6 linked regions of the Macaca mulatta genome follow. The main gene of each other region encodes a partner of the protein of the gene in region 4 in a complex. Links are inferred from orthologs where the notes say so. Each region holds a gene or a part of one and is shown on either strand. Other genes may lie near its edges.

What was found.
Region 1: the proteins of GNAO1 (region 4) and C5AR1 are in contact, whole or in part, in a cryo-EM structure (PDB 8JZP), measured with the Homo sapiens proteins. The link is inferred for Macaca mulatta from reciprocal best matches to the Homo sapiens genes GNAO1 and C5AR1. Residues at the interface, in NP_066268.1 of Homo sapiens: Ala31, Lys32, Lys193, Asn194, Leu195, Glu318, Tyr320, Phe336, Thr340, Asp341, Ile343, Ile344, Ala345, Asn347, Leu348, Arg349, Gly350, Cys351, Gly352, Leu353, Tyr354; in NP_001727.2 of Homo sapiens: Asn71, Phe75, Arg134, Leu137, Val138, Pro141, Ile142, Gln145, Ile225, Thr229, Arg233, Ala234, Thr235, Arg236, Ser237, Lys239, Thr240, Val243, Val244, Ala303, Gln305, Phe307.
Region 2: the proteins of GNAO1 (region 4) and GALR1 are in contact, whole or in part, in a cryo-EM structure (PDB 7XJJ), measured with the Homo sapiens proteins. The link is inferred for Macaca mulatta from reciprocal best matches to the Homo sapiens genes GNAO1 and GALR1. Residues at the interface, in NP_066268.1 of Homo sapiens: Ser264, Asn316, Glu318, Tyr320, Asp337, Asp341, Ile343, Ile344, Ala345, Asn347, Leu348, Arg349, Gly350, Cys351, Gly352, Leu353, Tyr354; in NP_001471.2 of Homo sapiens: Thr70, Arg133, Ala136, Ile137, Ser140, Arg141, His226, Leu227, Leu231, Asn233, Ser235, Lys236, Lys237, Ser238, Ala240, Ser241, Lys244, Thr245, Thr248, Leu306, Ser307, Glu308, Asn309.
Region 3: the proteins of GNAO1 (region 4) and HRH3 are in contact, whole or in part, in a cryo-EM structure (PDB 8YN7), measured with the Homo sapiens proteins. The link is inferred for Macaca mulatta from reciprocal best matches to the Homo sapiens genes GNAO1 and HRH3. Residues at the interface, in NP_066268.1 of Homo sapiens: Ile28, Ala31, Lys32, Asp33, Val34, Lys193, Asn194, Leu195, Asn312, Pro315, Asn316, Lys317, Glu318, Ile319, Tyr320, Phe336, Thr340, Asp341, Ile343, Ile344, Ala345, Asn347, Leu348, Arg349, Gly350, Cys351, Gly352, Leu353, Tyr354; in NP_009163.2 of Homo sapiens: Asn69, Asp131, Arg132, Ser135, Val136, Ala139, Val140, Tyr142, Arg143, Ala144, Gly147, Ile221, Ile225, Arg228, Arg232, Thr345, Phe348, Arg349, Arg352, Val356, Leu360, Cys415, His416, His417.
Region 5: the proteins of GNAO1 (region 4) and RGS16 are in contact, whole or in part, in a crystal structure (PDB 3C7K), measured with the Mus musculus proteins. The link is inferred for Macaca mulatta from reciprocal best matches to the Homo sapiens genes GNAO1 and RGS16. Residues at the interface, in NP_034438.1 of Mus musculus: Glu64, Asp65, Gln68, Ser75, Arg86, Thr117, Val180, Lys181, Thr182, Thr183, Gly184, Ile185, Val186, Gln205, Arg206, Ser207, Glu208, Lys210, Lys211, His214, His236, Glu237, Asp238, Glu239; in NP_035397.2 of Mus musculus: Glu85, Phe86, Ser87, Glu89, Asn90, Glu124, Ala125, Pro126, Glu128, Val129, Asn130, Asp132, His133, Glu134, Leu161, Lys164, Asp165, Ser166, Arg169, Lys172.
Region 6: the proteins of GNAO1 (region 4) and ADRA2A are in contact, whole or in part, in a cryo-EM structure (PDB 7W6P), measured with the Homo sapiens proteins. The link is inferred for Macaca mulatta from reciprocal best matches to the Homo sapiens genes GNAO1 and ADRA2A. Residues at the interface, in NP_066268.1 of Homo sapiens: Ile28, Lys32, Lys193, Asn194, Leu195, Asp218, Phe336, Thr340, Asp341, Ile343, Ile344, Ala345, Asn347, Leu348, Gly350, Cys351, Gly352, Leu353, Tyr354; in NP_000672.3 of Homo sapiens: Arg77, Arg146, Ser149, Ile150, Ala153, Ile154, Asn157, Leu158, Arg160, Pro162, Ile234, Ala238, Arg241, Arg383, Arg386, Phe387, Val390, Leu391, Phe444, Asn445, His446.

What each region holds. Positions count from the first base shown.
Region 1 is NC_133424.1:59,795,500-59,799,665, reverse strand, and holds the start of C5AR1 (C5a anaphylatoxin chemotactic receptor 1), read right to left. Parts: upstream 2,801-4,166; 5' UTR 2,766-2,800; coding exon 2,763-2,765; intron 1-2,762.
Region 2 is NC_133423.1:3,566,015-3,570,018, forward strand, and holds the start of GALR1 (galanin receptor type 1), read right to left. Parts: upstream 2,801-4,004; 5' UTR 2,578-2,800; coding exon 1,912-2,577; intron 1-1,911. UniProt on the Homo sapiens protein: Receptor for the hormone galanin. The activity of this receptor is mediated by G proteins that inhibit adenylate cyclase activity.
Region 3 is NC_133415.1:115,009,950-115,014,017, forward strand, and holds the start of HRH3 (histamine H3 receptor), read right to left. Parts: upstream 2,801-4,068; 5' UTR 2,680-2,800; coding exon 2,430-2,679; intron 1,379-2,429; coding exon 1,212-1,378; intron 1-1,211. UniProt on the Homo sapiens protein: The H3 subclass of histamine receptors could mediate the histamine signals in CNS and peripheral nervous system. Signals through the inhibition of adenylate cyclase and displays high constitutive activity (spontaneous activity in the absence of agonist).
Region 4 is NC_133425.1:51,890,716-51,894,215, reverse strand, and holds part of GNAO1 (guanine nucleotide-binding protein G(o) subunit alpha), read right to left. Parts: intron 3,366-3,500; coding exon of another isoform or gene 3,352-3,365; intron 2,272-3,351; coding exon 2,111-2,271; intron 1-2,110. UniProt on the Homo sapiens protein: Guanine nucleotide-binding proteins (G proteins) function as transducers downstream of G protein-coupled receptors (GPCRs) in numerous signaling cascades.
Region 5 is NC_133406.1:40,066,430-40,070,720, forward strand, and holds the start of RGS16 (regulator of G-protein signaling 16), read right to left. Parts: upstream 2,801-4,291; 5' UTR 2,733-2,800; coding exon 2,689-2,732; intron 1,808-2,688; coding exon 1,697-1,807; intron 949-1,696; coding exon 884-948; intron 597-883; coding exon 430-596; intron 1-429. UniProt on the Homo sapiens protein: Regulates G protein-coupled receptor signaling cascades. Inhibits signal transduction by increasing the GTPase activity of G protein alpha subunits, thereby driving them into their inactive GDP-bound form.
Region 6 is NC_133414.1:123,252,458-123,256,607, reverse strand, and holds the start of ADRA2A (alpha-2A adrenergic receptor), read right to left. Parts: upstream 2,801-4,150; 5' UTR 1,835-2,800; coding exon 437-1,834; 3' UTR 1-436. UniProt on the Homo sapiens protein: Alpha-2 adrenergic receptors mediate the catecholamine-induced inhibition of adenylate cyclase through the action of G proteins.

The sequences.
Region 1 (4,166 bases), on a different chromosome or scaffold from region 4:
GGCCGAGACGGGTGGATCACGAGGTCAGGAGATCGAGACCATCCTGGCTAACACGGTGAAACCCCGTCTCTACTAAAAAATACAAAAAACTAGCCGGGCGAGGTGGCGGGCGCCTGTAGTCCCAGCTACTCGGGAGGCTGAGGCAGGAGAATGGCGTGAACCCGGGAGGCGGAGCTTGCAGTGAGCTGAGATCCGGCCATTGCACTCCAGTCTGGGCGACAGAGCGAGACTCCGTCTCAAAAAAAAAAAAAAAAAAAAAAGATAAGGAGAGGGTGGCCAGGCACGGTGGCTCATGACTGTAATCCCAGCACTTTCGGAAGCCGAGGCAGGAAGATTGCTTGAGGCCAGGAGTTTGAGACTGGCCTGGCCAGCAGGGTGAAACCCTGTCTCTACTAAAAATACAAAAATATAAAAATAAAAATACGAAAATTAGCCAGGCGTGGTGGCGGGCACCTGTAGTCCCAGCTACCTGGGAGGCTGAAGCAGGAGAATCACTTGAACCCAGGAGGTGGAGGTTGCAGTGAGCTGAGATCACACCACTGCACTCCAGCCTGGGCAACAGAGCAAGACACTGTCTTGAAAAAACAAAAAGATAAGGAGAGGACAGATCTCTGCAGCTATTTCACAGTAGAGACAGAAGCTGAGATCGGTTTTGGGGTTCCCTGCATCACGCTAGTCCTTACTTTGTTCCCTAAGCATCTGTGCTCTCAGACATCTGTAAACTGTTTCTGGAAGGATCCACCACAAACTGGCATCCTGTGGTTGCCTCTGGGTAGGGGAGGGGGCAATGAAAAGGAGTCAGAGGGCCAGGCACAGTGGCTCACACCTGTAATCCCAGCACTTTGGGAGACCAAGGTGGGTGGATCACCTGAGGTCAGGAGTTCAAGACCAGCCTGGCCAATACGGTGAAACTCCGTCTCTACTAAAAAGACAAAAAACCACCCAGGCGTGGTGGCGCATGCCTGTAATCCCAGCTACTTGGGAGGTTGAGGCAGGAGAATTGCTTGAACCCAGGAGGCGGAGGTTGCGGTGAGCCAAGATCGTGCCATTGCACTCCAGCCTGGGTGACAAGAGTAAAACTCCGTCTCAAAAAGAAAAGAAAAGAAAAGAAAAGGAGTCAGAGGCTCTGGGGTAGGCAGGGAGAATGAGTTTTCTTTTTTTTCTGTTAGTTTTTTGAGACGGAGTCTCACTCTGTTGCCAGACTGGAGTGCAGTGGTGCAATCTCAGCTCACTGCAACCTCCGCCTCCTGGGTTCAAGCGATTGTCATGTCTCAGCCTCCCAAGTAGCTGGGACTACAGGCGCCCACTAACACGCCCAGCTAATTTTTGTATTTTTAGTAGAGACGGAGTTTCACCATGTTGGCTAGGATGGTTTCAATCTCCTGACCTCGTGATCCGCATGCCTTGGCCTCCCAAAGTGCTGGGATTACAGGCATGAGCCACCGCATCCGGCTGAGAATGAGTTTTTACCAAGTGTCCTTTGGTACTTTGTAATATGTTTTGGAAAGAAAAAAGAAGAAGCAGAGAGTGCCATTTGCCCTGGTCTGATCTCAAGGGTGGAATGCAGGAATGAAGCAACATGAGTCCCCTCCCTAGTCCATCCAAATTGTCTTCCGTTTCCTCTTTGACACGGATGAAGCAAGGCAATGCCTGTGTTACAGCAGGTGCTGAGTCGCAGCTCTGCTGGCTCAGTGCCCAGGACGCCGGATGCAGGGATGACGGGGACCTTCACCTAGCCTGGGCTGCGTTCCTTCTGACACTCGCAGAATCTGTGGCATAACCTCATTCTGCCACCAACCACGGAGGGTCCCCGGCCATCTCTGCTCCTGCCTGGGCCTCGGTTTCCCTATCTCTATCATGTAGAACATCTGAAACGACCGGGTGCAATGGCCTCACGCCAGTAATCCCAGAGCTTTGGGAGGCCAAGGTGGGAGGATGGCTTGAGGCCAGGAGTTCGAGACCAGCCCTGACAACATAGCCAAGAACCCATCTCTACAAGAATAAAAAATTTTAAAATTAGCCGGACATAGTGGTGCATGCCTGTGGTCCCAGGTACTCAGAAGGCTAAAGTGGGAGGATCACTTGAGCCCGAGTTCAAGATTGCAGTGAGCTATGACGGTGCCACTGCACTCCAGCCTGGGCAACCATGCAAGATCCCAAGTCAAAAAAGAAAAGAACATCTATCTGCAAGAGCTTGTGAGTAACTTTACTATTCCTCCAAACTGGTTCTTTCCAGCCTCCCAACATTTTCTCTACCATTCCTACTGCCTGGAAGGCCTTCTCTAGATCTTTTCACTTGTGGAATTCTTTTTTTAAAAAAATACAGACAGGGTGTCACTATGTTGGCCAGGCTGGTCTTCAACTCCCGGCCTCAAGCAATCCTCCCACCTTGGCACAATCCCCAATGTGCTGTGATTACGGCGTGAGCCACCGTGCTCGGCTGCTTGTGGAATTCTTAGTCATCTTATGAGACCCAACTCAAGGGTCCCCTCCCCTGGGGAGTTTTCTCGGACCCCAGCCCCATGAGGTTGCTGTGGCTCCCACAACTTGACGATCTTATTCCCATGGCCACATCCCAGTCCTAGAGTGTTAGAGCCTGGGATGTGGGAGAGAGGGAAGGTGGGAGGTGGAAGACAGGGAGACAGAAGGAAAGGGAGAGACAGAGTCGATGGTGACAGTTGGGGAGAGAAAGGACCCAGGGGAGCAGAGATGGGAGGGACCCTGGGCAAAGCTTCCTGCTCCCATTCCCCTTCGAGACTCACCATGTTCTGGTCTCCTGGGCTCCCCGAGGATCGAAGGTCCCTCCTGCCCAAGGGCTGTGGTTTTTAAAGCCCCAAGGGAAGATGCAGGGAGGAAATGACCATCTTTCTCTCTGAGGCTCTCATTGGTCTGCACACTGGGCACTGCAGCCAGAGCTCCCTCTGCGGGGCACACACCCAGGGGACTCTAACCACCTCCTCCCAGGCAGAGAACGGGGGCCAGTGCTCGGAAAACCGAGGAAGTTCCTTTGTAGGCTCGGCCCCTCTTCTGGCCTTGGTTTCCCTAGTTGGGGCCCTCTCTCTCTCTCTCTCTCTCTGTCTCTCTGTCTCTCTCTCTCTCTCTCTCTTTGAGATGGAGTCTTGCTTGTTGCCCAGGCTAGAGGGCAGTGATACGATCTCAGCTCACTGCAACCTCTGCCTACCAGGTTCAAGCGATTCTCCTGCCTCAGCCTCCCGAGTAGCTGGGATTACAGGCCTGTGTCACCACCCCCGGCTAATTTTTTGTATTTTTAGTAAAAATGGGGTTTCACCATGTTGGCCAGGTTGGACTCGAACTCCTGAGCTCAGGCAATCACCCACCTCAACCTCCCAAAGTGCTAGAATTACCAGTGTGAGCCACCGCGCCCGGCCTGGAGCCATCTATCTCTTTCCTTCGAAGGCCCCAGCCTGTAATCCCAGCTACTCGGGAGGCTGAGGCAGGAGAATTGCTTGAACCTAGGAGGCAGAGGTTGCAGTGAGCCGAGATGATGCCATTGCACTCCAGCCTGGGCAACAGAGCAAGACTCTGTCTCAACAACAACAAAAAAAACCATCGTGACCAGCCTGGCCAACATGGTGAAACCTCATCTCTACTAAAAATACAAAAATTAGCCAGGAGTGGTGGCAGGTGCCTGTAATCTCAGCTACTCGGGAGGCTGAGGCAGAAGAATTGCTGGAACCTGGGAGGCGGAGATTGCAGTGAGCGGAGATCGCACCATTGCACTCCAGCCCAGGCTGACAACACCAAGACTCAATCTCAAAAAAAAGAAAAGGAAAGAAAAAAAAAGAAAAAGAAAAAATCTTCCTTCTAGGGTTACGAAGTTGGCAATAGAAGATGGCGCTATCCACCCCACACACCGCCCACCCACTCCACAAGCCACACTAGCCACACAAGCCACAACCACCTCCGTCTTGGAAATGGGGTCCACACTTCATCCTCTCCAGCTTCATTGTGGGTTCTCTAAGACCGTGGTCCCCAACCTTTTTGGCACCAAGGACCGGTTTTGTGGAAGACAATTTTTCTACAGGCCAAAGGTTGTGGGGGCTGATTTTGGAATGATTCAAGTGTATTACATTCGTGGGGTACTTTATTTCTATTATTGTTACATTGTAATACATAATGAAATAATTATACAATTCACCATAATG
Region 2 (4,004 bases), on a different chromosome or scaffold from region 4:
AAGCCTTCCTTCCTTCCTGAATCATTCACCAGCTTCATAATTTCGGTCAGGTGTTCCTTTCCAAAGCTCTTTTTCCTTAAGTAATAAAATACGGGTAAATAATAAAATAGCTCCAAGCCAGAGTTGTGTAAATTAAATGAGATGGTGCACATATCAGATAATTGTGCTAGGTAAGATGGCCTTTGTTTAGCATTTGCAGAAGACCACATTAATAAACCAGCCGTTTCCCAAATAGCTAAGCTAGAGTTCTTTTCCAAATTCCCTTACTGCTACTATATTGGTGGTGGTGGTGGTGGTGGTGGTGTCGTTGTTTTGAGATGGAGTCTCGCTCCATCGTCACCCAGACTGGAGTTCAGTGGCACGATTTCAGCTCACTGCACCCTCTGTCACCTGGGTTCAAACAATTCTCCAGTCTCAGCCTCCGGAGTAGCTGGGACTACAGGGGCCCACCACCACATCCGGCTAATTTTTATATTTTTAGTAGAGACGGGGTTTTACCTTGTTGATCAGGCTGGTCTCAAATTCCTGACCTCAGGTGATCCACTTGCCTCGGCCTCCCAAAGTGCTACTATATTTCTTTATATTTAACCTTTTGGTGCAAGCCGTTCAGATAATATCCAGCAATACTATTATTCAAAATCGACACGATCTACATAGATGAAACAGGTGGGGGGAAACAGGTGGCTTATAGCAAACACTTCTGTTGATAAAAATACCTTGTGAATTGAGTATTAAAAGTGATAGCTGTTCTACCTAGTGAGGTTATTTGTGGTCATATAGTCACAGCCTTATTGAAACAGAATGAGACCGAGGTGAAGTCAGGGGAACCTGGTAACAGAGCTGTATTTCAAATGGCCACGCTCTGGAGCCAGGAGGCTGCGCACACTGGGGTTTACCCCGTGAATCGCTATCACCTGATTATTAAAATAAGCTCTTGTTTACGCAAATAGAAACACGTGTGTCAAAGGCTGAAGACGTTTTGATCAGTATAAAGTCTTCAAACACTTGTGGACGTAATGAAAAAGAACGTGAGTTCTGAGCTCTGCCCGGCTGTACAAAGGGAAAAACGATCTCCCACACGCGTGGACGGTGCCTCTGCTAGAGTTAGGGTGAAGATCCGCCGCCTCAACCACTTCACCCTGTTCTGGAGACCTTTCTAAAAAGGATTGAAATGGGGAAGCCGAAAGCTCGAGTCCATTCCATTCCAAGTTCCTGGAGCCTGCGGTCAGGACTCTGTAAAGAAACACCGTTTTATAAAGCTAAGCTTCAGAATAAAATTCAAAGCTCTGTCCCCGGGAGCAGTGGCTTCGCAGAGCCCGGTGTGCGCAAAGCCTTCGGAGCGAGGGCAAACTGCGCACCCCGGGGGAGAGGGGCCGCCCCGCGAGCCCCCCGACGGCCAGCTGAGAGCCCGGGAGGGGGCGGTGGGGACCCGTCACCCTCGCAAAAGGTTCGCGCTCTGGTGACCACGCGCTCCCCTCGGGTCTCACAGTGCCGAGGCGGTAACCTCCCCGCGCAGCTGATCTGGTTGAAGAGTTGCTGGAACCGAGCGGGGTTTGCGGTACCGGGAAGGAGGCGGCAGCGCCCGCCTACCGCCCAGGCAACCTGGGGGCTCTGAAGCGCCGCAGGGGCGAGGAAGGGGAGGGGAGGAGAAACTTGTTCTACCAGACCATGCGAAGTGAACTGCAAACTTTCCCCAGCATCTCTCAGACTCCAAGTAACTTTCTTGCGCGAGCCAATGGCAAGCTCCAGCAGCGGCCAGGGAGCCTCCCCGCACAGATCCGCCCCAGCACCGGCGGGGTGGAGGCAACTGGGGCCGGGCTGCCGCCAAGGCTCCGGCAGGGCCGCGGAACACTGGGACCCCCGGGCCCCCCACCCTCCCTCGCGCGTCTCGGCCCGGTGCCCGCCGCGCACCTTTGCATAGCAGAAGCAGATGAGCAGGAGCGGCAGCAGGTAGCCGAAGACGAAGGTGCACACCACATAGGCCTTCTTGTGGCGAGGGTCAGGCCACTGCTCCCAGCAGAAAGTCTGGTTGCTGGCGCGCGGCTGGAAGAGGCCCTGGTGGTAGGCCACGGGCGAGGCCATGGCGATGGACAGCGCCCAGATGCAGCTTACGCCCAGCAGCGCGTTGCGGGACACCCTGAGGGAGGAGGAGCGCCGCGAGTGCACGATGGCCACATAGCGGTCCACTGACATCGCAGCCAGGGTGAAGATGCTGACCAGCATGGACACGGTGAAGAAGTAGTGTATGAACTTGCAGATGAAGGCGCCCAGCACCCAGGTGGGCAGCGCGTACACCGTGGCCTGGAAGGGGATGCAGAAGAGCAGGTAGGCCAGGTCGGCGATGCTCAGGTTGAGGATGAACAGGTTGGTGGTGCTCCGCGGCTTGCCCGGCTTGCTGCGCGCCAGCACAGTGATCACTAGGCTGTTGCCCAGCACGCCCAGCGCGAAGATCAGGCCGAACACCACCAGCGTGACGAAGTTCTCCACGCCGATGCCGAACAGCGGCCCGGGCTCCGGGGCTGGGGGCTCCGGCCAGCTCGCGTTGCCCTCGCTGAGGTTCCCGACCGCCAGCTCCATGGCCCGCGGGGCTGCCCGGGCGAGCGGCGGGGCGCGCGGGGAGGGCGGGTGCCTGGCAGGAAAGTAGGCGCCGGGGGTGGTCGGTAGTCCCGGCGCAGAGCACGGAGAGCGCGAGTTTAGGAGTCTGAGCTTCCCCTGAGGCGCGCGCCAGCGGGCGCGGGGATCCGGTGGCCGTGCCTGAAGGCACCGTCTTTGCGCCGCGACCTTCTGAGAGAGGGCGGGGACGGGAGCCCGGAGCTGGACCTTCTCGGGAAGGGACGGTGGTCTTGAGAGCTCTAGATCCCCTACCCGGGCGCCTCCGCCCGCTGCGCGACCACGGAGCCTGGGAAGAAGGATCCGCCGGCTGCAGCCGCGCAGGTGGAAAGACCCTTCTCTCCGCCTTACAGCTCCAGATCTTCGCGGGCCGTTTTCTCTCGCTCCCGGAGCGGCTGCGGGCTGCACCTGTTGCTCAGAGCCGCTCCTTCCCGCGGCGCTTCCCCGCACTGCCGAGCGCGCAGCAGCGCACCGTGAGGCTCCTGCAGACAGGGCTCCCCGCGCCTCCCGCGCCACCTCCCCAGTGGGCTGGCGCCTGCGACTCCCTCCCGGCTTTTCCAGGGATTCCGAGGTGTCCACAGGGCGAAAGCTCTTTTGGGGGACTTCCTGGTGGTGGAAAGAGTCGGGTACCAGGGGCCTCTCGGCTTCAACTGAGAGACGAAGACGGCCTGGCTGAAATCCGCGCCCCCTAGAAGTCACGGTGCGCGAGCAGAGACTGGACGGACTCTCGCGGGATGGGTCGCCGCCCACCTCCCGGCTGGAACCCGCGCGCGCTCGCCTCCGCGGGGTGCGGACCTGCACGGCTGGCTGAAGGCGGGGCTGCCAGCTGCTGCGGGCCGGGCGGGCGAGGGAAGCCGGGCGCTCTCCAGGGCGCTCCAGAGCGCGCCGGGGGGGAGGCAAAGGGGTTCGCGGGCCCCCTCACCCATCAGTGTCTGTCCTCCTCCTCCTCCTCCTCCTCCTCCTCCTCCTCCTCCCCCCCAGGGTGGCTGTCCGTGAGAAAACCTCTGTCCCTGGAATAACCCCAGGAAATCGAGGCTGGCGCCGCTCCCTGGAGTTTTGTAAAATTGGCCGCCTAATCCCACCCTTATCCGCGGCCTGCTAGAGAGGAGAGAAGTGCGAAGGGAAAGGGCTGTGTGGGCTTCTCTATAGATGTGGATGACATTGAAGGAGAAGGCTGTTCACACCACTCAACCTCACATCATTTTTGCCTTGCATTACTCATCTGAGGGCCATAAACTGCAGCGATGACAAAATATTTTTAAAGTGAAAGAACGTGCTTAGTATCTTACTGCGGTAAATGTAGATTTGCCAGAAAGAAATTAAGCCGTTTCGGTACAGCAGGGCCAGTCACGTTATCTTTGTAACCTGGGTGGTTCCCAGCTAGAGAGCCGACA
Region 3 (4,068 bases), on a different chromosome or scaffold from region 4:
CCCGAGCCATCTCCAGAGGTTGGGGTGGGAGGTCCAGCCCCACTCCTGCGCAGGTGCTCGCACCCCTGGGAGCTGGAAGTGCAGGAATGAAGCCACAAGCTGGCCCACTGCTGGGAGACATCCCCCGCCCCGCCACAGAACAAAGCATCCCAGATCGACATCAGGGCCTCTGGGACAGAACAGGGAGGGAGGGCAGGGCCCTCCCCAGGGCAGAGAGCAACCAGCTGGTGGGGGCAGGGGGCAGGAGGGCCAAGGGATCCCATTGAGGGGTCCCAGGTAGGACAGCTGGAGGAGGAGGACCTGAGAACCCTGCCACCCTCCCCCACAAGCCTGATGGCATTTACCTTGGTGAGAGCGGGAGCAATGTTTACAGCTATTGCTAATGAGAGGTGGGCAGAGCACCCCCATGCCAGGCTCTCTGCTTGGCCGCTTTACCCTTCGTGGCAGCTCTCCTTGTGCCCCATGCCTGGTGGCTCCAGGAAAGGAGGGAGAGACCACAGGGGGATGGGCTCAAGAGGACCCCAAATGCATGCTCTTTGCACCCTGTCTCTTGGCCTTTCTAGTCTAGAACGAAACAGCCTGCCCTCAGTCCTGCAGAGGCCCCATAAAGCCCTGTGGAGGTGAGCTGCCAAGGAGATGAGAAGGGGAAGGAGTGACTTCAGCAGCGGCTCCATGGGCTGCATGGCCCTGATACAGGAGCCCGGGTGGGGCAGAGTCCCTGACTCAGGTGGCCGCTCCCACAAAGGGAAATCTGTGGAGCCAGGATCTGCCGCCTGCCTTCCCGGGGCCTGTGTGTGTGTGCACGCTTGCACACACACGCATGTGTGAGGGATGTCACCCAGGGCCTCTGGCCCCAGATCCTCCCTTAACTCTGGAGACTGTGGTCACCCAGGGCCTCTGGCCCCAGATCCTCCCGTAACTCTGGGGACTGTGGACCTGCCCCAGGGCGGGGGCTGCAGTGACAGCCCTGCCTTCAGGAACATCTGCATCCAGATTCCCTGCCTCCTGCCTGGGCCAGGACAGTCTGGCTGCAGCCATGGCCCGGAGTGGGCAGCTGGCCATCGAGTGGCCCATGTGTCCGCAGCAAAATCAGTGGGACCAAGCCCACTTCTGCCCACAACTCAGAAGCAGCCGTCCCCACCCTGATGCCTCCCATGGGCGTCCCGACTGTCCCTCAGGAGTGAGCAGGGGCTCCGCAGCCCGGGACTCACGGCTCGGGTGACCGACAGGAAGCGGTCGTAGCTGATGAGCACGATGTTGAAGGCGGAGGAGGTGCACAGCAGGTAGTCCACCACCAGCCACAGCTTGCAGAGGCCCCGGCCGAAGGTCCAGCGGCCGGTCAGCACATAGGGCACATACAGTGGGATGCAGAAGGCGCCTGTGGGGAGTAGGGCCACAGTGGGACCATGCAGCCAGGGGACAGGGGACAGACCCACCTAAGCACAGACACCACGGAACCTGGGCTGCTTTTCTGGGACCAGCCATCCTCATCTTACCGCCCCCTCCACCTGGTGTCAGCCACAAACTCTGCCCTGCCACCAGCCTTCACCCCCACATAGCTCCCAGCACCTCCGGTGTCCCCTGGGCCTGGGAGCAGGAGAGACGATCCGGCATGGGGAACTCTGGCCACCACAAGACCCCAAGAGCCTGGAGTCGGGACTCCCTGGACTTCTGTCCAGCCCTCCCAGCCCTCAAAGGAGGAAAGAAGACAATTTCCTTCTCCCCTCCCCCCGCTGGACTCCAGCCCTACCTTGGCGTTGGGCAGCCCTCCCTCTCAGCTTAGACAGCAGGAAAGGCTTTCCCGGCTGAAAGGGCACTTGGTTGCCGCCGCCAGCAGCCAGCCGCCACTACTACTGCCAAGCGGGCTTGGAGCGTCTGGGAGACGCACCTCACAGCCCCAACAGGTGTCTGGCACTCCAGCCCCCTCCGCGTGCCCCGCCCCCCCAGCCGGCAGCAGAGCCTGGACACGTGAGAGCGCGCTCCTTCCAGCGTCTACCCCAACCCCCACCTTCCCCACGGTCCCCTCCCCCAACACAGCTCTAAAAATCCCCCTTCCATGTCCCCTCCCCCAGACCTTCTCTAAACCTCCCCACTGCGCCCTCCGCGCGCGTCCTAAGTCCGCAGCAGCCTTTGTTTGGCTACAGCGCAGGAACCAGGGCTGCACCCGCTGCCTTTGCGCCTTGCGCCTCGCCCAGTGCCTGTGTCCCTTCCCAGGGACAGCTCTCTCCAGCCCCTGTCCCGAGGCCTGAGTGGCAAGGAACTTCGCCTGTGCCCCCCACACCGTGGGCTCCGGACACCCCCTTCCCAGGCCGGGTCCCCTGGTGGGGCGTGTGCCTGCGGGAGCCACCCAGGTCCGTGCTCCAGTCCCCGCTGGCCCGGCCACGCTGGGCGCCCCTGGGTCCCACGGCGGCCGGGGGCTGGGGATTTACCCACGAGGAAGTCGGAGATGGCAAGGTTGAGCAGGAAGAAGTTGTTCTGAGTGCGGAGGCTCGAGTCGGCCACGAAGGCGAGCATGACCAGCGCGTTGCCCAGCACCGTGGCCACGATGAGCAGCGCCATGAGCGCGGCCAGCACCGCGGTCCAGGCTGCCGAGAAGCCGCGCGCCCCGCCCGCCGCCGCTGCCTCGCCCGCCAGCGCCCCCGAAGCGTTCAGCGGTCCGTCGGGCGGCGCGCGCTCCATGGCCCCGCAGGCTCACGCGGCTCCGGGACGCGGGGCAGGGCGCCAGTCGAGAGGTGGGCGGCCGGAGGGGCCCCGGCCCGGGAGCCTCGTCTTTGCGGGCCCTTGGCCGGGTGGGGTTCCCCGGGAGGCGCCCAGCGCATGGTCCGGGGGGCTGGGGCCAGGGCCAGGGCGGGCGGTGCCGAGGGGGCCGGGGCCAGATCAGAGCCTAGTGGGGCCAGCAGCGCTGCTGCTGCAGCGGGAGAGAAGCCGGAGCCTGAGCCGCTGCCGGCGCGACCGAGCACTCGGAGCGCAACGCGCAGCCGAGTGCGCCCCGCGCCCAGCCCACCGCCCCGCGCGCCCCGCGCAGCGCCCCCGCCATTGGCTGCCGCCCTCGCCCCGCCCCCGCCCCGCCCCCGCCCCGCCCGGCGCCGGCAGCACCACGGACAGCGCCGCGTGCCCGCCAGGCAAGCTGGAACCCAGCCCCTGCGCTCACGGCAGCTGGCTGGGAGCCCGGCCGGGACTTGACCGGGTCTGGGGGCTCGCCTGCGGTCAGCCAGCCCGCGCACTCGGAGCCGGGGTCTGGGTTGCTCGGCCTTTCCCGTGCCCTCGGCCCTGGGGACCCCTACCCAGTCATCATGGGGAGCCCTGGCGCCTGTGGGGACCCGGGGTGGGGGTGGGAGAAACGCCTGCACCCGCGCTCCGGGGAACTTGCCCTGTGGGGCATTTCCTCGGTGCATGTTTTGGGAATGTGGGTCTCCGGCGGAAGGAACGTCTGGAGAAGGGATGGGGAGGAGGGGGTCTTGGAAAGCCGGTGCCCAGACCAGGGGTCCGCTCCACCTCCCGTTTGCACGGACTAGGGGTGCCAGCCTCCCTGTGGACAGGGCCCAGTGCAGGGTCCAGGGTGACCTGCAAGGCGCAGGCAGATGTGGAGTTACATAAGGGAAGATGAGGCGCCGCGCGGACCCAGCCGGAGGGGAGCGCGTCTAGCCCGGGTTCCGGCAGCCTCAGGCTGAGGAGGGAGCAGCAAGCCGCTTGGAGCCCAGCCACGGACCCCCGTGGACAGAGGGGCAGTCGCCACTGCAGCGGACAGACGAGGTCACTGCGCTCAGGGCGCAGGTGGTGGCTGTGTCAGCGCCTGTGGGAAGTGATGGGGGAGGAGAGGAGAGGTGGCAGGAGGGAGCGCCCCCACTACCAGACACATGCGCTCAAATACACCGGGTCAAGGACAGATTCCGCCTGAAACACTCAGGGCAGACAGACAGACAAGCCCACACTCAGATACACAGACACCCACAAGCCAGGGAAGCAGCCACCAGAGCCAGGCTGGAGACCCACCAACAGTAAGACACACATCAGACAGCAGGCAGGGAGGGAGCTGAGCCCCAGGAGAGGGAAGCAGCAACTCTGCTC
Region 4 (3,500 bases):
GTGAGGGGAGTAGGAAGAAGATTGCTTCTCATTTTATATGCCTCTGCATTTGTTTAAATTTTTTTTTTTTTTGTAATGGATTCATGTTATAATTAGTGAAATGAGTAAAAATGTAAGTGGAGAGCAGGATTTGGTGAGCCACTAGAAGGCAGATTTGGGCCAGCTGGCCCTAAAGGCCCCTGAGGGTCTTGCTGACTCTTGGGGAGGAGGCAGGGCAGGGACAAGGAGTGGGAGAAGGGAGGAGGGCAGCTGAAAGTCACTCTCTCCTGCCTGGCTCTGGTCTGTGATTTGAGCATACGGAATGGTGGACACTGAGCTTCTGGGCTCACTGCCCTGACCCCCAGGGTGTCCCTGGGAGCTTATCAGGCCCAGGGACCTAGGTAGTCATCACCTGGAACTCACAGGACTTTGGCATTTGCCCTGTGGTCAATCTAGGTGTGCAGAAATGGGAAGCTGCTCCTGGTCTTGCTCAAGCCCCTAGTCTGTTGGCTGCCATGTGGCCTGTGGAAATGTCCAGGAGTGAACATTGGCCTCAGCCATTGTCTGTTGGCACTGCGTAGATCCGGGTTTCTTAATCTTGGCACTATGGATGTCTGGGGCCATGCAACTCTTTGTTGTGGGGGCCATCCTGCACACTGTGGGATGTTTAACTGCATCTCTGGCCTCTACCTGCTAGATGCTGGGAGCACCACTCTAGCTGCCGGGAGCACCACTTTAGCTGCCGGGAGAACCACTCTAGCTGCAGCCATCAAAAATGTCCCCAGATGTTGCTGAATGTCCCCTGGAGGCAAATTGGCCCCAGCTGAGAAGACCTGGTGAAAATGGCTGGACTGGATCATGTCAGAGTCTTCCCAGCCAGTGGGGTAAAGCGCAGAGGCTCCTTGCAGAAAGTCCCCACTGAATGTATGGGTCCCAGATTGCAATTGCAAAAGTGGGGTGTGTTTCCCAAAAGCCAAGGGGGCAATCCCAGTGTCTCCATGACAGAAGACATGTCCCTGACCGACACTGACCATCCCCGGGCTCTGGAGCCTCCAATCTAGGGCCAAGGGCACGGAAGCAGTGAGGATTTCCTTGGAGATGCCTAGAGTGATAAAGCTGCAGCCAATGGACCTGTGACCTGCGGTCATGGGAAGAGCCGGGAGCACCTTCTAACCAGCTCCGGCTTTTACCATTTCCCACTTCTCCATCTTCTCTTCTCTCCTCTTCTTTCTCCCTCTGTCCCCTTCCTTTCCTCCTTCCATCCTCCTGCCCTCCTGTCATCTCCCTTATTTAGTTATAACAGAGTATTAAAGTATACATTTATTATATTAATTAGACCTACATATTCCTTATTTATTTATTTATTTATTTATTTATTTATCTGAGACGGAGTCTCACTCTGTCGCCCAGGCTGGAGTGAAGTGGCCAGATCTCAGCTCACTGCAAGCTCTGCCTCCCGGGTTTACGCCATTCTCCTGCCTCAGCCTCCCGAGTAGCTGGGACTACAGGCGCCTGCCACCTCGCCCGGCTAGTTTTTTGTATTTTTAGTAGAGACAGGGTTTCACCGTGTTAGCCAGGATGGTTTCTATCTCCTGACCTCGTGATCCACCTGTCTTGGCCTCCCAAAGTGCTGGGATTACAGGCTTGAGCCACCGCGCCTGGCCCTTATTTTTAATTTTGAAGATAAGGGAATGGAAAACTTATTATTTTCTCTAAAATAAAACAAAATGGCACCATTTATTTTCTCCCTGTATGGCTGTTGGTTTGGTTTGTATTTCTGGGGTCAGGGGCTCCCCATGAAAAACCAAAGCTGCTACACTTGAAAGCCGTCTTTTTGCAATGCCAGGCACTCCTTGGGACAGGCCAGTGACAAGGTCCCGCCCTCTGGGAATTTCCACTGTGTGGTTGTCTCTTGTGTCCTCTGCCTTCTCTGGCCTCTTCCTTCTCCTAGGGGGGGCAGGAAGAGAGGCCCCTTCTCATTCCTTCCTGACACCCCCCACCTGTAGTAGAACATCTCCCGGCAGGCATGACCTCAGACGAGAATCCTTGCTCTGCCAATCCCCATCGCCAGTCCCCTTCCACTCCCGCATCACTGCCCGGCTCCAGACTGTGCGCCCGCCGGGACACTCACTATTTGGCAGAGTCGTTGAGCTGATACTCCCGGGACCGGTTGAAGCACTCTTGGATTCCTGAGTCGCCCCAGAGCCGCATCATGGCAGAAAGCAGCTCTGCAGAGAAGGGCTCGGTGTCTTCCATCCGACTCACCACGTCGCACACCATCTTGGCGTCAGCCTGTAAGGAGAGGTGGATGGTGGGCTTTGAGACTTCGGTGGGGACAGAAGACCCCTGCCAGCCAAGGGCTCTCCCCTGGCTGGGACTGTGATGAGGGCCCAGCCAGGGTGGCAGGACCACGGCTCAGCTCACAGCCTGCTCTGGGCAGGGCCACGACCTGAGCATGCACAGTCGGGGTTCATGGGGCCTGTGGGGCCTTCTACCACATGGACATCCTAAAGCAAGAGCTCCAAGCCACAGCCCATGGGGCCCCAGAGTTTTCCGGGGCAGGAAGGGAGAGTGGGCTGGGCTCTGTTCTCCACCCTCCAACTCAACCAGCAGCTCTGCTTTCATCCTGAAAACACAGTTATTTTGTTTGGGGGAGAAAAAAAAATCAATGTTCTTTGCTGAGTTGTAATTTTCTACACTTCTTACGCAGGCTGGAATGGAGTCCTTAGAACTGGGCTATGTGGAGGAGCAGGTGTTTCGGTGGAGAATTCTGGTTCGCTGAGGGATGGGCCACAGGGGGGGCTGTGCCTCAGGACTGGGGGAGGGGAGGGGCTGGTTGCCAAGTGAGTGCAGATGGCAAAAATATCTCATGCCAACATTAAATCTCAAGAACTTTGGTCCTTGGATTGCTCAAAGTCAAAGGCCATTTTATTAATTTTTCTTGATTTGTTTGTGACCTGGGGCCTACCTTTCTCTGGGGGCAGGGGAAGCCCCTAGGTCAGGTGAAACATGGGAATGGGAAAGGACAGGTAATGAGCTTGGAGCGCTCTCCTCCTCTGCCTCCTCCCTTCCTCCTTGTCTGAGTGGGTGTAGCTGAATTTGCTTAAGGTGCACAAGTGTAGGCTGAGCCTTCTTGAAATTACAGAAAAAGTACTGCATAATTAACAGGATTCTTCCCCTTCCCCTCATCCTGAATATCAAAGTAGGGTCACCTGTTTTCAAAGACTACAATCACATGCATGTAACATCACAATCAGGCGTGTGGTGTCTTTGAAGACAAGAAGGCTCCTGGAGACATCCCAGGACGGCACTGTCACTGCCACCTTGCACACGGGAGTAGTACTTAGTGTACAAAGGATTTGGTGGACACACTCCGTCCTCAGAACCTCCCCCACCTCAAGAGCGAGTGGCAGGAGCTGTGTCATTGGGCCTTTCACCCCTCCTCTGCCCACACCCGTTGTCCTGTGCCTCTTCAGCTCCTCCTGCTAAAGGCACTGTACATTTCCTGTCTGCTTGATGTT
Region 5 (4,291 bases), on a different chromosome or scaffold from region 4:
GCAGCTGCCATGCATAGTGGCCGGGAGGGAAGGTAGACAAAAAAATCACAGACTACAGACCTGCAGGCCTCAGGCAGGTCAGCCTGGGGACTGAGCCAGGTTATATAAGGTCCCTGTGCTGACCTTGTCTCCCCAGTTGGTAAGTGTTTTGAGCCTCTAAAAAGGGATGGATTTATAAAGATGGGTATGGATAGAAGCCGAAAAACCTGCCAATCCATCCTGCCCCATCATGAGTCATAGGGTTAAGCACCCAGGAGTGGCACTGAGCCCGGCTTTTCTAGTGTCTGGTCACAGAAGCCCATTCACCCCTGTGCCAAGTAAGGCCCTTCTACTTCTACACCTAGCCTTTCCTCCCCACTAGCCCTCACTCTCAGAGGGGAAGGAGCAGGCAGGGTCGTGAGGATTCACTGGGCATATGGGGGCTCTAACCTCTTTAGGGGCCTCGCTGCAGATGAACTCCTCAAAGATCCGGTGTGCCCTGGAGGCCCGCTTGGTAGCTGATTGGATCTTCTTGAACTCCTCACAGGCCAGCCAGAACTCCAGGTTCTCCTCACTGAACTCCGTCTTGAGGAAAGCGTGGAAAGCAGCCACTCCATCTGGGGTTACAGGAAAGAGGCGGAAACAGGTCAGCCAGAGGGACAGCAGGGAATACAAGAAGAAAGGAAAGCAATTGCACGTAATGGCTCTATTTTTAGAACATAATTTTCTTGAACAAGGACCTGCCTTTGTGTGTTGAATAGAGGCTGGCACACTAGGGGATCATTATTATTATTATTACTACTACTATTATTCTGCCCAGGCTCTCAGCAGTCCTGGAGCTGGTTCCAAAGCACATGAGTATACACGTGCCACCCAGAGACAGACACAAAAGGCTCCTACTCACTTTTACTGCTCAGCAGCAGGTCGAACGACTCTCTCCACCCCAGCACATCTTCTGAGAAGTTTCTACTAAAAGACAAAAAGAAAAAAAAAGAGTAAGAAAAAAAAATCAACAAACCAAAGCATAGTACAAATTCTAGCCAGAACTCTGATGGAAAATTGCGTAAAATTCACAGAAAGGCTTGCCTTGGTGATTGTTGAAGCTGACACCTCAAACTCCTAGTTGGACTTAGGGTAAGCAGTAATGTTTTCTAGAGGACAATTCGGCAACCAGAAATCAAAGCCAGGGACTCCTTTAGTCTTCAGTTAATATCTCTAAGCCTGTCTCTTCTCTGTCCAAAAATTATTTCAATTCCCCTGACTCTCAAAGATTTGTTTTGTACACCTTCCCAAGGACATAAGGGCCTCATAAATAGAGATTACATCTACACATAACTCCAGAGTTTGGTACAGTTGATAGCCAATATGAAAGGGTTTCTAGGCAAGGTGCATGCTAGAGTCATTAATAAAAACCTCAAGTGGCCTTGGACTCTGTCCTAGCCCTGGATGCATGTGCAATGAAACCCCAGGTGGGAGAGTCTGGTTAACTAGGCATTCATGCCCTGTGTGCCCTCATCCGTGGATAGACTTGGAGCCCTGGAGCCACCTACCCACTCACCCATGAGCCAAGTAGTCATAACAGACCAGCAACAAGTCTCACTAAAATCTCTAGGGAGGCGTTGCCAAGATCCACTTAGTGTGTCCTGGCTTCTCCTTATATTTCCCTCCTTCCCGCTCCCTTCCCTCTCGGAGCCCTGAGCTGGTCAGCAACACTTACTTCTCTTTGCCGTGTTTACTGCCCCACTCGAACTTGCCACTACTCCCAGTATCACAGCCCAGCTCTGATTTGTGAAGAAAGATCCCCAGACGTGTCTTGAACTCTTTGGCTCTGAAAAACAAATCAGGAACATGAAAGGATTCTCATTTGCTCAGCCAGTGTGGAGAGGTTTATGTGTCCCAGAAGAGCTCTGGGTGGTGCCACCCAAAGTTTAGCCTCAAGAGTTCCTGGAAACTCTTGGCTGTTCCCAGGACCCAAATTGTGCTTATCAGTATCATCAACCCCAAAGCAACAAAAGCAATGTTTGAGCTATGCCGTGGTAGACCTTACACTTTCTGGGTAATACACACGCTCATATATGGGCTTTTCCCTAAAGTCACACTGATCTCTCTTCGTGCCTGTTGATTCAGAAAAGAACTCAGCATTCTTTTCAGGAGTATTTCTGAACTGTGGGAAACTGATTCCTGCCTTCATCTTTACGTTTTCCTTCCCAGCCAGTAACGACTGGAAGCTGTTGAGTTGCTCTCTGGAATATGGACACACCCTCAACAGTGGGATCCCCCTGCCCCACCACACCCCACAAAAAAAAAAAAAAAAAAAAAAAAATCTCCCTGCCTTCCAGGGGCAGAGGAGGCAATGCCCCTAGCTCTGGTCTGAGGAATGAAAAACAAGTGCTTAAGCAATAGGCAGGCTCAGTTCTGCCTGGAAATGTCAACGTGGCCTTCCTGCAGCCAGGTCTTCAGCAGGTCACCTGAGCACGACTGCAGTTTGTCAGAGGATGGGGATGGCAGCAAGCAGCGGGCCCTTGCTTCCCTTCCCCTTGCTTTCTCCCTGCTCCTGGAATCTAAGCACGTGGCATCAGGTTCGCCTCTACCTCTCTACTTAAGCCTCCAGCGCCCCATCCCCGCGCCCACCCAGGTCCCCAGGCCTGCCGCTCCACTCCCTAAGAGTTGGTGGGACTTCCCGCAAGCAGTTGGACAAGCTCCCCTTACCTCTCCAGGCAGGTGGTGGGGAAGGCGGCCAGGGTACGGCACATGGCTGCGGGCGCGGGGCAGCACGTAGCCGGCAGGATGGTGGCAGGCTCCAGGAGGCTCCGCGAGCGCTAGGAAGCAAAGCGCGGTAGCAGGTGCTAATCAACTGGGGTTGGCTTTAGCAGCCTGCAAGCACCCAGACTTCGCGGCCGCTGCTTTAATCCCCTCGGAGGAACGGGGCTGGGCACTGCTGACCAATCGGAGGGCGGGGCTGGACACTGAGAAGGCGGAGGCGGGGCCCACAGCCAGACTGGGCCGGGCGCAACTTTCGCCGCAGCTGGAGCACGCGGAGCTGCACCCTCCCTCCGGAGGACGCCGCGTGTGGAAGGAGAAGCGGCAAGAGAATTGGCACGGGGATGAGACGTGCACACCCAGTTTCCTAGGGAAAAATACCTGCTGACCTCTAGTAACAACAGAAAACTCACGCAGCGGTGTCGTGTTGCAAGAGATTCCACGGGGCTGGTGGGTCTGAGAGGCACACAGGGCTTTGATCGCAGGTAAGTCTGAGCCTGCTGGGTCCTGAAGGACAGGCGCACAGGGTGCAAACCTGGCAAAACAGTTTCTTTTTTTTTTTTTTTTTTTTTTTTTTGAGACGGAGTCTCGCTCTGTCGCCCAGGCTGGAGTGCAGTGGCCGGATCTCAGCTCACTGTAAGCTCCGCCTCCCGGGTTCACGCCATTCTCCTGCCTCAGTCTCCCGAGTAGCTGGGACTACAGGCGCCCGCCACCTCGCCCGGCTAGTTTTTTATATTTTTTAGTAGAGATGGGGTTTCACCGTGTTAGCCAGGATGGTCTCGATCTCCTGACCTCGTGATCCGCCCGTCTCGGCCTCCCAAAGTGCTGGGATTACAGGCTTGAGCCACCGCGCCCGGCCAACAGTTTCTAATTATACTGATAAGTACCCTTTACGAGGCTCCTACCCCGATGGACATGGGGCTAAGTAAGATCTTCTTCTTCATCATCATCTCCATTTTATAGTTGAAGAAACCGAGAATCAGAAAGCTAAATAAACTTGCTCAAGATCACAGTTGGAGATGACAGACAAATGGGATAGGGATGAGTATTTTATTGAACACCTACTATGTGCCAGTCACATAACTAAGACTCATATTAAATAACTTGCTCAAAGATGTGCAGCTAGTAGGTGTTGGCTCCAAAATTCAAATGTGAATTTACCATTCTTTTTCCATTGCACCCTCCCCGCTCCCCCCTCTCCCCCGCTCCCCCCTCTCCCCCGCTCCCCCCTCTCCCCTGCCCCACACACACCCGCAAAGGTTAGTAATCCAGTCACAGCTATACCTGTGGACGATCCTGGGTTTAGGTAGTTGCTACCTTAGTGTCTATCTCTGAGATAAAGGTAATAAATACCCTGCCTCTCTCCTCACCTTCCCACAAAGGTATTGGGAGTGCTATTAAGAGGCTGCATGTGAGGTTAAGAGTACAGGGTCTAGAGTTAGATTTTCAGGTTTCAAGTCATGGCTCTGCCAGGTGACCTGCTGAAGACCCAGCTGCAGGAAGGCCCCGTTAACTGTTAACTGGCTCTGCCAGTTACTGATGGGAGACTAGG
Region 6 (4,150 bases), on a different chromosome or scaffold from region 4:
AAAAAAGAGAGAGAGAGAGCTGGGGATGGAAGGGGAATTAGCCAGGGCTAGGTAATCCTCTAGGTAACCATCCATTAACCTTTTGTGAGCCATGTCCTTGTAGTCCAGTGCTTGCTCTGAAGAGCTGTGAGGGCTATACCAGGGGAAGAAGGTGAAAATACCTTCAGGAAGCAATACTGATTGGGGTGGCCCACCGGGAAGATGGCTCCAGGTCAAGAGTGGCCAAACCAACAACTGGGGATGCGTGGGTCTGGCAGCAAGAACGCTTCCCTTGTAGGAGCAGCAGACGCCCGCCCGCAGGAGGCTGCAGAGCCACCCCAGAGGAGGAAACGCAGAGCAGACAGGGCCCGGGTTTCTGAGTGCCCTGGGGCTGAGCACTCCTTGGTGCCTTGCTGCCTGCAGTCGGCGTGAGTCTACGCGGGCGCCGGCGGAAACCTCACACGATCCGCTTCCTGTCCCCGCGGCAGAGGATCTTCTTGAAGGCGCGGCGGAAGTCGTGGTTGAAGATGGTGTAGATGACCGGGTTCAGCGAGCTGTTGCAGTAGCCGAACCAGAAGAAGAACTTGAAGAGCGTGCGCGGCACTGAGCACCCGACGGCTGTGAGCGTGTAGGTGAAGAAGAAGGGGAACCAGCACACCACGAACACTCCGATGACCACGGCCAGCACGAACGTGAAGCGTTTCTCGCGGTTCTGCCGCCCGCGCCAGCGCGACGCCTTGGCGGCCCCAGCGCGCTCCACCCCCGGCCCTGCCGCAGCCGTCCCGATCCCGGTCTCCCCCAGCCCGCGCCGTGGCAGGCTGTCCCCCGGCTTCACCTGGCTCGCCCGGGCCTTGCCCTTGCCCCGGAGGCCGCGCTCGGGTCTGCGGGGCCCGGGAGGCCGCTCGGCGTGGTCGGACGACGAGCTCTCCTCCAGGTCCAGCGCGTCGGCGTCGCGCGGCCCGGCCGGCGCGGGCTCGCCAGGGGCGCCGTTGAGCTGGGTGGGCAGCGGCTCGGCCTCCGCGCCCCCCGGGCCCGCGCCGCGCTCTGGGCCCAGACCGTTGGGCCTGCGCTCGGCGCCCCCCTGCGGCACGGCGGCGGCGTCCGGACCCCGGCGGCTAGGTGGCACGCGGGTGCGACGCTTGGCGATCTGGTAGATGCGCACGTAGACCAGGATCATGATGAGGCAGGGAGCGAAGAAGGAGCCGATGCACGACGAGATGACGTACCACTTCTGGTCGTTGATCTCGCAGCGCGGCTCGGCCGGCTGCGGGCCGCCGTGGCCGCGCTTCTTCTCGAAGGAGATGAGCGGCGGGAAGGAGATGACGGCCGAGATGACCCACACGGTGATGATGATGGCCTTGATGCGGCGCGGCGTGCGCTTCAGATTGTACTCGATGGCCTGTGTGATGGACCAGTAGCGGTCCAGGCTGATGGCGCACAGGTGCACGATGGACGACGTGCAGAAGAGCACGTCGAGCGCCAGGTAGATCTCGCACCAAGCCTTGCCAAAGTACCAGTAGCCCATGACCTCGTTGGCCAGCGAGAAAGGGATGACAAGCGTGGCCACCAGGATGTCGGCCGAGGCCAGAGACACCAGGAAGAGGTTTTGGGGCGCCTTGAGCGCGCGGCTCGTGAACACCGCGATGATGACGAGCACGTTGCCGAACACGGTGAGCAGCATGAGCAGGCCGGCCAGGCACACCAGCGTCAGCGTCACCTGCAGGGAGTAAGGGGTGGCCCGGGCGCCGCCCCCCGGCGCCTCGGTCCCGTTCCAGCTCGCATTGCCCGCGTCCGGCTGCAGGGAGCCCATGGGCGCAAAGCTGCCCTCGGCCAGCGGCTGCTCCTGGCGGAACATGAACGCGGGCGCCCGCTCGCCTGGGCCTGCTGCCAGCTGCCTTCCGGCCCGGCGCCCGTGGGTCCTCCTCTTCCTCCGGCGCCCCGCTCGCCTGGCTGCAGCTCACATAGGGAGGGGGCCGCAGGGAGGCCGGGCCCGAGCTGGGGGACCGCTAGCGGCCCATGGCCCGGGTCCCGCGAACTGCGCCTGGCTCGCGCTTCGGACGCTCTCGGTGGGCGCCTTCTCGCTCCGAGCTCCTAACACAGCCAAGTTTTATTTCTAAGCGGCGGGAGAGAGTAGGGAGAGCCGATGGGTAAAGAGATTTATTCTTCAAGAAGGGAGAACAAAAATCATCGGTGGCCTGATAACTTGGAAGGATGACAGGAAATTAAATATATATATACATATCGATATCTATATCTTGACTCTTGAGCCTGAGCGAAAGCAAGAGGTCTTACCGTGTGCGGGGCCCGCCCCCACCCCGGGAGGCAGCCGAGGGGTGCTGATGCGAGCTTGGGGTCCTATGTCTGTCTCCTTATATCCCCGAAGCGATTACCGACTCTCTGGCTTCCCCCAGACGCTGCGCTTCTGGCCGGGCCCGGCCCGGGGCTGGGGCGCGGACCCTGCCGCCTCTCGGAGCGCCGCGAGACTTCCAAAGTTGTGCGCCCTGCTGAGGCTGGGGCGCACTGTGCGGAGCTCGGGGGCGGCGGCGGCGGCGGGGTGAGGAGTGTGGGCACCGCATGAAGGCACCCCCGTCCTCAGGCGGGCCGGGGTAGGTGAACGATCAGCTCTGCAGGAGCTGCGACGAAGGCAGGGTGTCTCCTGGGCGTCCGCCAGGTGGGCGCCGAGCGCGACTGGATGGGCCGGGGTCCGACGACAGCGCGAGTTGGGCTTGGAGCGCAAGGTTGGGGGAAGAAGGCGCTGGAGCTGCCGGGCGGCGGCACGCCGGCTGCTGGGCGTCTGCACGGAGCCGCAGCTGCTACTGCTCCGCTGCGCTCACGGTGGACTCGTTTTATAGCCCCAGGATCAAGCCGGCGTTGCTGAGCAGCCAGCGTCAGCCCCCACGTGGGAAGCCGACCCTCCCCCGCCCCTCGCACCACCCCTCCGCCAGTCTAGCGCCGGCGCCCAGCGCTGGACCTCGGGGAGAGTTGCCCTCATGCGGGACCAGCCCTTTGGAGAGGCGCGTACCTTGAGCGAGAGGCTTAAAGAGGGAGCCCGGTGGTTGGGGGGGCGGGGGAGCGGCCCCTGCTAGGAGTTGGCCATGCAGCTCCGGGCCGACGGAGCAGAACTCGACGGGCACCCGTGAGTGCCCCCAAGGAGCTGGATCTTGGAAGAAAAGGGAAGAAAAAGTGGAGGGGAATCCCTGCCCAAATCGAGGGAAGTAACCTCCGGTGTGGGTTACATCTGGAGCAGCCCAGCTCCGGGCCAGAGCCGACCTGGTCCGCAGGTGCTCCTTGCGGCTGGGGAGAAAGGGGTGCTGGAGAGGGAGGAAGGCGCGGGTTCGGATGGAACCCCTGGGCGGAATGGACAGCACCTATGGGTAAGTGGCACAGGCCAGACTTCGGACCTTGGCTTAGGGAAGAAGCGGCTACGTGTCCTCCCAGCCACGAAGCTGTCTGCGGGACACGCGCGACCGGGGGTCTGGACCGCGCCCCCTTAGACAGAGGTGGGGAGGGGTCCAGGAGCCGAACGCCAGGACAAAGCGAGGACGCACTGACACCTGCTGGCCGCTCGTGGTCACGGCTGAGAAGCGACCCGCTGACGCCAGGCGCCTCCTCCCATCTCTTAGGTCTTCTGCCTACAGAGCCTTCTCCTATCTCAGAACAAATTGGTTTCTGAGCTCAGGAAAGGAGAACCCAGATTTTGAATTGCACCCTGTCGTGTTGCAGAAATCTTCCTAAAGCAGATACTCGTGTGTCTACCCCTGGCGGGAGTGGGGGTTTGTCTAATAAAGTCACATCAGGAGGGGCTCAGCAGGCACCGCCGGCCAGAACGGGCATCCCACCCTGGACCCGCACAGCCCACCCTTCCTGCAGATCCGAGAGAGGCCAGGATCCTGCCTCCTTGGTTGCCCCGCTCTGGCCTACTGGGAACCATTATGTTTTTGTTGAGGACCGAAAGCTAAACTCCACCCCCCGCATCCCACCCCCATTCAGATGTACACACACCATCCTTCAGTAAGGGGAGGAGGGAGTAGCCAAGGAAGGGAGAATATTTTCCATGTTCTCTCTGATAAGAATAGCGGGGGGTGGGGGGGGGGAGGTGGGCGGCGAATGGCAAGTTTTTCCGTGCGTGCTAGCTGGCCCAGGATAGATTTTAACGGTCACTAGAGCACTA